3 separate regions of the Mus musculus genome follow, and regions 1 and 3 are each reported to be linked to region 2. Evidence: microRNA targets listed by miRTarBase, many of them from high-throughput screens and not tested one by one. Region 2 holds a microRNA gene; each other region holds the end of a gene's coding sequence.

Region 1 (3,000 bases), not on the chromosome of region 2:
ACATATTCACATTTTTATGAAGAATATTTTTCTACCATGATACATCATTATAAATGAAGAAAATATGAGAAACCATTAGCTCTGTAATGGTGGGCATTTTCAATTTGCATGCACATTTCATTTCTTACATTGTTTTGCTAACCTTCATACTGCTCTAAATGCAGTTTCTTTTGAGATATTTAAAAAACTAATTGCCTAACATTTATATAAATTTCATAAGCTTTTAAATTCTATTTACAATGGAAGAGGATTAAAATTTTGTGGCTAATATTTGTTACAGCCTTTGATAATTTGTAAATTTGGCTTCCCCTAGGATGAACTGTCACAGAGGCTTGCTCGTCTTCGTGATCAAGTGTAACTTAAATAACTGGTGCTTCTGTTCCTCCACATATTTCTGAGCCATCATTTGTGTGTGTGTCTATAGATAAGGTGTATTCCAGTTACAAAAACATCATACATGACAGGATGTTTGGACATCATTTCTATAAGATGCTTTCTTTTGCCTTGTGTATTTCACAGTGCATTGCGAAATTCCAAGGAATTTCCACATTGGCAGATTTTATAGTTCTATATATTGTGTGTAAAAGTGTGAGGGACATATTTTTCTAGATGTCTTTGGCAAAGCTAGCATTAGTTTTCTGTATATTATACATCTTCCGCAAATATTAGAGCAAACATCTAGCACCAAAGTAATGCTAAGTAAAGTAATTTTGTCAGAATAATGTATAAAGGCTTTGTTTTTACTTATTGAAAGTAACTTTCAATTATTGTCTGTGATGAATTTTGATTTTGTAAAAATAAAAACAGGAAAGCATGTTCATTTAATATGTTCGCATAACCCAGACCATCTTATTTTAAGTATCACAAGATAGACTATACAATTTCCATGGGATTTTTGAAAATTATTTCTATTTTGTATGTATGGTTGTTTTGCCTGCATGTTAAATTGTGTACTCACTTGTGTGTCTGGTGCCTACAGAGGCCAGAAGAGGACATTGGATTCCCCAGGAACTAGAGCTATAGACAATTGGGAGCCAACATGTGGATACTAGAATTCAAACCCATTTCTTCTAGAAGACCAGCCAGTGCTCTTAACTCCTGAGCCATGTGTCTAGCCTCTGTTTTGTTTCGTTGCTGTTGTTGTTTTGCTTGTTTATTTTAGAGACAGGGCAGAAATATATAGCCCAGAGTTCCCTGAAACTCAGTGAGCCTCCAGCATTGGTCTCTAAGTATATACCACCATACCCAGCTCATTTTCTATGATTTGGGGGTGGGGGTTGTTATGCACATTAGTTATTTTTTCTGTTTCTATGATAAATAACCGTGCTCAAAAGTGACTTATGGAAGAAAGAAAGTATTTTGGTTTATGGTTCCAGGGAAATGAGGGCTCCATCATGGTGGGGAGGTGTGGCAGCAAGAGCAGGTAGCTGGTACATGTTTAATGACACACACAAAGCAGAAAGAACAGGCTGCCAGTGTAACAGACCTAGAAGCTCTCAAAGCCAGTGACATACTTCATTTAGTAAGGTTGCATATCTCCATACCTTCTCCATAAGGCACCACCAACTGGGAAACAATTATTCAAGTACATGAGTCTATGGAAAAATGTCTCGTTCAGACCACTGCATTCCTCTCCCTGGCTTCCATAGACTTATGGCCATATCATAATGCAAAATGTATTTACTCTGATGCTTAAAGTGCCCATGGTCTTTCTCAATCTCAATACTATTTGAAATTTCAAAGTCCAGCATATCTTGTGAGACTCGAGACAATCTCTAGCCACTGATAAGATCTAAAAGCAAATAATATACTTCCAACATACGATGGCACAGGTTACACATTATCATTTTAGAAGGGAGGAAGGGGGACATGATGAGGAAATACTGGACTACAGAGAGACTGAAAGCTCACAAGGCATACATATAAGCAAATCCTGTAGCTCTATGTGGGATGTCTGGGACTACTTTCCGAGGGTTTGGATGGCTTAACTCCTCCAGCTTTGCTGCCTGATTTAATAGCTCACTCTCTAGTAACATCTTCTACGTTAGTTACTTCTCTGTTGCTGCGATTAAGCACCATGACCAGAAGCAATTTATAAATAGAAGAGTTTATTTTGGCTTACAGTTCCAGAGGGATAAGAAAGTGTGCACCATGGCAGGGATGCATGGTAGCAGGATCAGGAAGCCAAGAAATCATGCTTTCTATTATGCTGTACACATGACGCAGAAAGAGCCAGCTGGAAGTGTGGCAAGACACTCCCAATGCCTGTTGCTGGTGGAATAATTCCTCCAACAGAGTTTGTACAATGACCTGTACCATAACCTTCCCAACTGGTGAACAAAGTTTCAAATATGTGAGCCTATAGGAGACTCATTCAATTCAGAACATTATGTAAAGAGAAACAGAGTAAATATTTACTTGGTTTTAATCCACTGTAAAGTTTAAATCATTATAGTTTTTAGCCAGTAATTTAATGATGACTGTTCATTAATTTTTAAGACCTTTTAATGGACAATTTATTATATAACTAGGAAAATTCTGCAACATTAATCCAAAGTTTGTATTGGGATACCCTAGATATCCATAGAAGAGATTTGATGGACAAAAGTATTTATGACATAAAGAATGTGTTCTCTGTTGGTATGAATTAAATAGTTTCTGTTCTTTTAACTTGAATAAAAAATTGTTAGATTTATTACTACCACTTAGCTCCACAACTAGCTGTTCATTCTTTTATGTTGCAACCATGTCAGACTTACCTTTTAAAATATTACTATCAGGGCTGTAAAGTTAATACTACCATTTCAAGAGGATCTGCCTTTGTGTCTCAGCAGCACATCAGTTACCTCACAACATCCTGTAAATCTGCCTCCTGGGGATTCAGTGACCTTTCCTGGTTCCCACAGGGTACCTGAACTCATGTGTATAGATGCACACAGACACACACATAATTTTTAAAATAAAGATATACTGGACATGGTCACACATACCTTTAATCTC
Region 2 (3,367 bases):
TTACACACACATGCACATACCTAGGGTCCATCACATAAATCCAGTACGATTTCTAACTCATCATGAAGTTAAACATGAATTTGAACTCCAGATCCTCCTGACTCTGGCAAATGGTTTGCATCTGATTAATGAGATGTTTCCTGTCCCATGAATATGCACTCTATAAAACTCTAAGCACATATAAATCAAATGGATGATTGCCATGTGTATTTGTGTACACATGTATGTGTCCATATATGTGTATATATATGCATATACATATACCCACATGTACAAGCACACTTACCTATAGACATATACACGTACACAGAGGCAAAAACATAAATTACAGCCTTATCTATAACTCATCATGAAGTTAAACATTAATTTGAACTTCATATCCTCCTGACTCTGGCAAGAGTATTCACCTCCTAACTGAGGCATAGCTCTGGACCAGTACTGCATAAGCTCTAAATCTCTGAGTCACATAACATTCAAAAAAATATATGAGTGACATTCGTGTATGTGCATGAGTATATATGCATATTCATGTATAAAAGTGAATATGCACACAACTATACTCACATGCACATATTTGGAGGACATCACACGAATCGCATGCTGATCTCTAACTCAATGTGAGTTAAACATGAATTTGAACTCGTCATCCTCCTGACTCTGGCAAGAGTGCTCACCTCCTAACTGAGACATAGCTCTGGCCATTCCTATGAATGTGTGTGCATGCGTGTATATGCATATTCATATACAGAAGTGAATATGCACACAACTATACACACTTGCACATTTTTGGTGGGCATAAGATGAATCCCATGCTAATCATGAACTCATCATGAAATTCAGCACGAATTTGAACTCCTGATCCAACTGACACTGTCAAGGGATTTCACCTGCTGAGTGAGACCTCTCCCCATTCAGTACTGAGGAATCTTAAAACTCTAAATCACATATCATTCAAATGGATCGATGAGTTGCACTGATGTTTGTGTGTGTGTTTCTGTTTGTGTCTGTGTACATGTATATATTTGTGTAGATAGGTACATCCATATACTCAAATCCACACACAATAGAAACAGATACAGATAGAGATACATAGGGGGCATCACATGAATCCCAGGCATATCTCTAAGTCATCATGAAGTAAAGCATGAATTAGAACTCCTGATCCACAATCTTTCACACCTGGTGAGTAAAACCATTCACTGTCCCACTACTGCATAATCTTGAAAACTTTAAGTCACACATCATTCAAACGTATAAATGAATGCAATTTTTTCCTGTGTGTGTGTGTGCTTGCATATACACGTGTGTTTATGTTATATATAGCATGTCAACAGAGATAATGCACATACAAGTAAACACACATGCACATTCATGGGAGGCATCACATGAATACCAGGATGATCTCTAACTGAATTAAGCATGAATTTGCAATCTTTATCCTCCTGACTTTGTCAATCTTTTACACCTGGTGAGTGAGGACATTCAATGTCCCCTATTGCATAATCGCTAAAACTCTACATCACTTATCATTCAAAGGGATTGGCGAATGCCATTCCTGTATCTGTGTATGTGTGCTTGCGTTTATACGTGTGTGTGTATGTTATGTATATTCAAATATAGACATGAACATGCACACACAACTATACACACATGCACATACATGGAGGAATCACAGGCTGATCTCTCATGAGGATAAGTATGAATTTGAACTCCTGATACTCTTAACTCTAGCAAGCATTTTCACTCTAAGTCACTTATCACTCAAATGGATTGATGAGTGCCATTCCCATGTGTCTGTGTGCTCATATGTGTCTTATGTGTGCGTGTATGTATTTGTATATCATATTCACACATGTACATGTACACACACATCAACACATATACACATACACAGGGGCAATCACATGAATGCCAGGATGACCTCTAACTCATCATGCCTTTACTATGAACTTGCACTCCTGATCTTCCCGACTCTACCAAGGGTTTTCCCGTGGTTTGTGAGACCTCACCCTGGCCCAGTCATACATAACCTCCAAAGCAGTAGGTCACATATCATTCAAATGGATCCGTGAAGGCCATTTCCGCATGTCTGTGTGCATGTGTGTGTAGGTGTGTGTATGTATATGCATAAAATATACACGCATATACATGCAGGCACTTACGCACACGGGCACATACATAGGGGCCATCACATTATTCCAGGATGATCTCTAACTGCTCATGAAGTTAAGCATGAAATTGAACTCCTGATCCTCCTGACACTGCCAATTATTTACACCTGGTGAGTGAGACCTTCACTGTCCCTCTACTTTATAATCAGCAAAATTCTAAGACATATATCATTCAAATGGATCAATGAGTGTCATTCTTATGTGTGTGAGTGTGCACGCCTGTGTGTGTGAATACATTTGTATGTGTGTGTATTTATATGTATGATCATATACACACATGTACGTGCACACACAATTATATGCACTTGTGCATACCTAGGATCCATCACACAAATACAGGGTGATCTCTAACTCATTATGAAGTTAAGCATGAATTTGAACTCCTGAGACTCCTAACTCTGGCAAGTGGTTTTCATCTGATAAGTGAGATTATTCCCTATACCATGAATATACACTCAATGAAATTATAAGCACGTATAAATCAAATGGATGACTGCCATGTGTGTATGTGTGCACATGTATGTGTCCCTAGTTGTGTGGGTGTGTATATATATATATATATATATATATATATATATATATATATATGCATGCTCATATACGCGCATGTACAGGCACACTTCCTTTTACACATAAACACATACACAGGGAAAAATCACATGAATTCTGGACTGATCTCTAACTCACCATAAAGATGAACATGAATTTGAACTACTCATCCTCATGATGCTGGCAAGAGTATTCACCTCCTAACTGAGTCAAAGATCTGGCCATTAGTGTGAGTATGTTTGCATGTGAGTATATGCATATTCATGTAGAGAAGTGAATATGTACACAACTATACACACATGCACATTCTTCGTGGGCATCACATGAATCGCATGCTGAACACTAACACATCAAGAAGTTAAACATGAATTTGAACTCCTCATCCTCCTAGCTCTGGCAAGCATACTCACCGCCTAACTGAGACATAGCTCTGGCCATTCCTATGAATGTGTTTGCATGCGTGTATATGCATATTCATATAGAGAAGTGAATATGCACACAACTATACACACATGCACATTTTTGGTGGGCATAAGATGAATCCCATGCTGATCATGAACTCATCATGAAATTCAGCACGAATTTGAACTCCTTATCCACCTGACTCTGTCAAGGGACTTCACCTGCTGAGTGAGACCTCTCCCCAT
Region 3 (3,367 bases), not on the chromosome of region 2:
AAAAAAAAAAAAAAAACCCACAGAGGTAAGCAGAGATCCACGAAGCACCAGGAAGGGTGAGAGATGAAAGAGGCCCCCAGATGGATGGGATGACTGTACGGACAGCCGTGCGGGAGGAGCAATGGAGCAAACAGTTTGAAAGAGAAGAAAAATGGGATTCAGCCATAAAGGCTCAAAAAACTGTTGCAGAAAGTGACAAATGGCATTGCTCTCTACGATTGTATAAGTGGAGGGCAGACAATAAATAAAAATTGAATAGAGGCTATGACAGCAGAAATCGGGATTTGGGAGAGAAAAGCGCATTGTGGGACAAAACAGATGCGTGGTGCCCCCCATACTGTTAGCAATTTAAATCTGATGGGACGAGAACTGGGAGCCACTGCGGGTTTGATTTAAAGAGGGTGAACTGGCCCAATAATGCCCAGGCAGGAGGACTCTTAATGCTGCCATCCTTCATACAGAGAGTTGATTATTAGGAGCAAGAGTTGAGTTCGTCTTTCGTTTCCCTGGCTACCACCGATGGGACTGTCTAGGGCACTCAGTGCCTCAAGTGGCAGGCAGCATAGAGAACATGACAGCTGGTTAAGACCCAAAACTGAACCCCGAGCAGAGGGGCGTTGACTACATATTAAAAGGTACTACTTTAGTTCGTAAAAAAAATTGACTATAAAGATAGCCTGACAGAGAACACCTGACTTTTCTAACAGAGAACAGAAAAACAAAAATAAAAAAAAAAAAACAAAAACAAAAAACAAAAAACAAAAAAAACCCTGAAACTGTTCCAAATCCACCTGCTTTTTTTTTGCTCTCTTCATCAAAACTTTGTTTAAGTCATCAACAACATGATCCGAGTGTAAATATTTTCAGAACTAAAAGCATCAGGTGCCATCAGATTTATATAAAGGCGTTCAGCTCCTTGGAATTACGCTAATATTGGCGACAGCTACAAAACCAGGGAGGGAACCTACTTTTCTTTGCGAAGTACTATCTTGGTACTGTGGTCAGTTTTCTGAGAGGCCTCAGCAGGTCATAGGTTTAGGTTTGCCACAGACAAACCATTTGGTCCCCACATGAAAGATGACAAAAAGTTTGGCATACGAGAGGCACATGGAAACATTCAGTGGACTAAGAAGAAATAACCATTAGTGATGCAAACACAAATACAAATATGCCTTTATTACACAAACAGGAAAAAGTACTGGTGTTTCTTCAGAGGGCACTGGTGAGCAGTCCTAAAAGCTTGGCACATTATCTAGTTTTAAAGTCTTAAAGAGCTCAAATATTTGCATCAAATAGAATTCCACTCAATAAGGACCGTTGGTTTTTTTTTTTTAATGTATTCACTAAAAGCACAAAGTTGGCATCTGCTCTTCTGTAGATGCCACGCCTCTGCCCATACAGAAGGTGCATGTGCCGACTTCATACATGTGCACATACAAACACGCCCACAAACGAGGTAAAAACAGGTGCTAATAATCTAAAAGTACTCCATGCGATCACAACTGTCAGGACGGTGGTTTTCTTCTAACTGGGTAGGGAATGTGGTAGTTTTGTTTGACCTTTCAAACTTGGAGGAAGAGGAGGAGGAGGAGGAAGAGGAGGAAGAGGAAGAGGAGGAGGAAGAGGGAGGCTGCAGGAGGCAGGATACAGTAGGAAGGCGATGAGTGTTCAGCATGCAACAAAGAGACAAGAGGCGTAGAACCCCCTCCCCGGGCCTTGCGAGGGCCTGACGGAGACACGTGTTGCCATGCAGGAGACACAGTTCAGATTTCAGTCTTGCTTTGTCATGCCTCCGATCAGAAAACATGAGAAGAAACACTGTAGATTTTTTTTCTTTTGCCTTTAAACCAGAGGTCTGGAATACATATGTTACAACTATAGCTTTTTTTTTTTTTCCTTTTTTTCTGAAGAGTTTGAGCACAGTGCTTTGCGAATAAGTCTGGCTCCTTTCTGCAACTGACTATTGTGTCACAGGACCATGTTTAAAGAGGAGAAAAGGTATTATATATATATATATATATCATAACGCAAATCAAAGTAGCAGAACGGGACAGGGTGCAAAAAAAATGTATTCAAAACTGGGGTGCACTGTATGTCAAAGGGGTGTGTGTGAATGATGGCAACCCCCAAGAATGAAGACACCAGTGCCATCAATATCATAGCACACAGAGGGGCCACACGGGATTTGCCCAACCACATTCGTTTTTCTACTTCAGTCTCTATCACTATGACCCAGAAGTGGCAGTCTTGTTATTCAGCTAGCAGCGGAAGTGGCAAAGCTGCTGGCAACCTGAGTTTACTAAGGCTTGCTGGATACCACTGTTTTTCATAGGTATCTCTGGGTAACTAACCCTCAGGTTAGTGCTTGGCGAGTCTCACTCGGAATCAATTTAAACTCAGTGTTCAGAGACTCTAGGATCTAACAAGCATCATTCTTGGAAGTTGCCCCTGAAACGTTTGCCCCTAGTTGAGTAGAAACAATAGAAAAATGGGATTCCAATTGGTTACACAGCACATCATATTTTTTTTATTATGTAAAGTACAGCTGCTTTGAATATAAACTTAGTAATCATTTATGTGACATGTTTTCCTGGATGGAAGTCAGTTACTGTTGTCTGTTCCTTCCAGCTGTGAGTCGTGAAGACCTGGTGCTTAGACAACTGTATTCTTCCATTTCTGACTTCCAAGTTACAGTCCGTCACTTCCCTTCACCTATTCTGGAAAACAGAAACATCAACATTTCGTCACTACTCACGTCCACTTCCTATGCATTGAGACATGACTTGTTGCTAAAGCTTGAAACTGTTTGAGATATTCTATCAAAAATAATGAAAATGTATCTGTAAAGGTCACAGACAGAAATCAGGCAAATCATTAGCCTTTTCAGTTTGGTAAGTAAAATGCCAATGGCATGGGAAAATAAAATCAACACAGACTGATAACCTTGGTTTGCTGGGTAAGCTCAATACAAGGCATGAGATGTTGATTTTTCAAAGCAGAAGTTATTGATCCAAGAATAATATTCTACCATGTTCACTTTAGGTTTACAGCATTCGGTTAATATAAGTGAAACAGACTTGTGATCCGGCATAGGTAAAGAGGAAGTTCTTGGGAAGGTGCCCTGAACTTTGTTCAGGGTGATCTGTACGCCGTGAGTCCAGGGTGGACATCAGAAGACACAGCCCGTAACAAGCATTTAAAAACCAAACTGTGTCGCCCGGCGTGGTGGCGCACGCCTTTAATCCCAGCACTCGGGAGGCAGAGGCAGGCGGATTTCTGAGTTCGAGGCCAGCCTGGTCTACAGAGTGAGTTCCAGGACAGCCAGAGTTACACAGAGAAACCCTGTCTCAAAAAACAAAAAACAAAA

What was found. The annotated mature microRNA mmu-miR-669o-3p reads ACAUAACAUACACACACACGUAU and lies in region 2 at 1,584-1,606, opposite strand. An mRNA with a match to its seed (bases 2 to 7 or 8) in the 3' UTR can be bound and repressed. Matches are read on the target gene's strand: a 7mer-m8 pairs with bases 2 to 8, a 7mer-A1 pairs with bases 2 to 7 and ends in A, and an 8mer does both.
Region 1: the mRNA of 2610002M06Rik is a reported target of mmu-miR-669o-3p. Seed matches in the 3' UTR shown: 7mer-m8 at 1,279-1,285.
Region 3: the mRNA of Cd47 is a reported target of mmu-miR-669o-3p. Seed matches in the 3' UTR shown: 7mer-A1 at 2,021-2,027.

The regions. Positions count from the first base shown.
Region 1 is chrX:107,785,167-107,788,166 of GRCm38, reverse strand. It overlaps 2610002M06Rik (RIKEN cDNA 2610002M06 gene), which reads left to right. Exons shown (of 8, transcript NM_025921.3): 8 at 314-3,000. The coding sequence ends at 358. Among named protein-coding and RNA genes, the nearest start is that of 2610002M06Rik, 30 kb to the left of the region's middle.
Region 2 is chr2:10,502,081-10,505,447 of GRCm38, reverse strand. It overlaps Mir669a-12 (microRNA 669a-12), which reads right to left and starts at 1,657; the gene lies at 1,571-1,657. All of the region lies in intron 10 of Sfmbt2 (Scm-like with four mbt domains 2), which reads right to left. It overlaps Mir467a-10 (microRNA 467a-10), which reads right to left and starts at 2,175; the gene lies at 2,093-2,175. It overlaps Mir466b-3 (microRNA 466b-3), which reads right to left and starts at 1,883; the gene lies at 1,803-1,883.
Region 3 is chr16:49,910,219-49,913,585 of GRCm38, reverse strand. It overlaps Cd47 (CD47 antigen (Rh-related antigen, integrin-associated signal transducer)), which reads right to left. Exons shown (of 9, transcript NM_001368415.1): 9 at 1,158-2,717. The coding sequence ends at 2,709. Among named protein-coding and RNA genes, the nearest start is that of Gm19723, 44 kb to the left of the region's middle.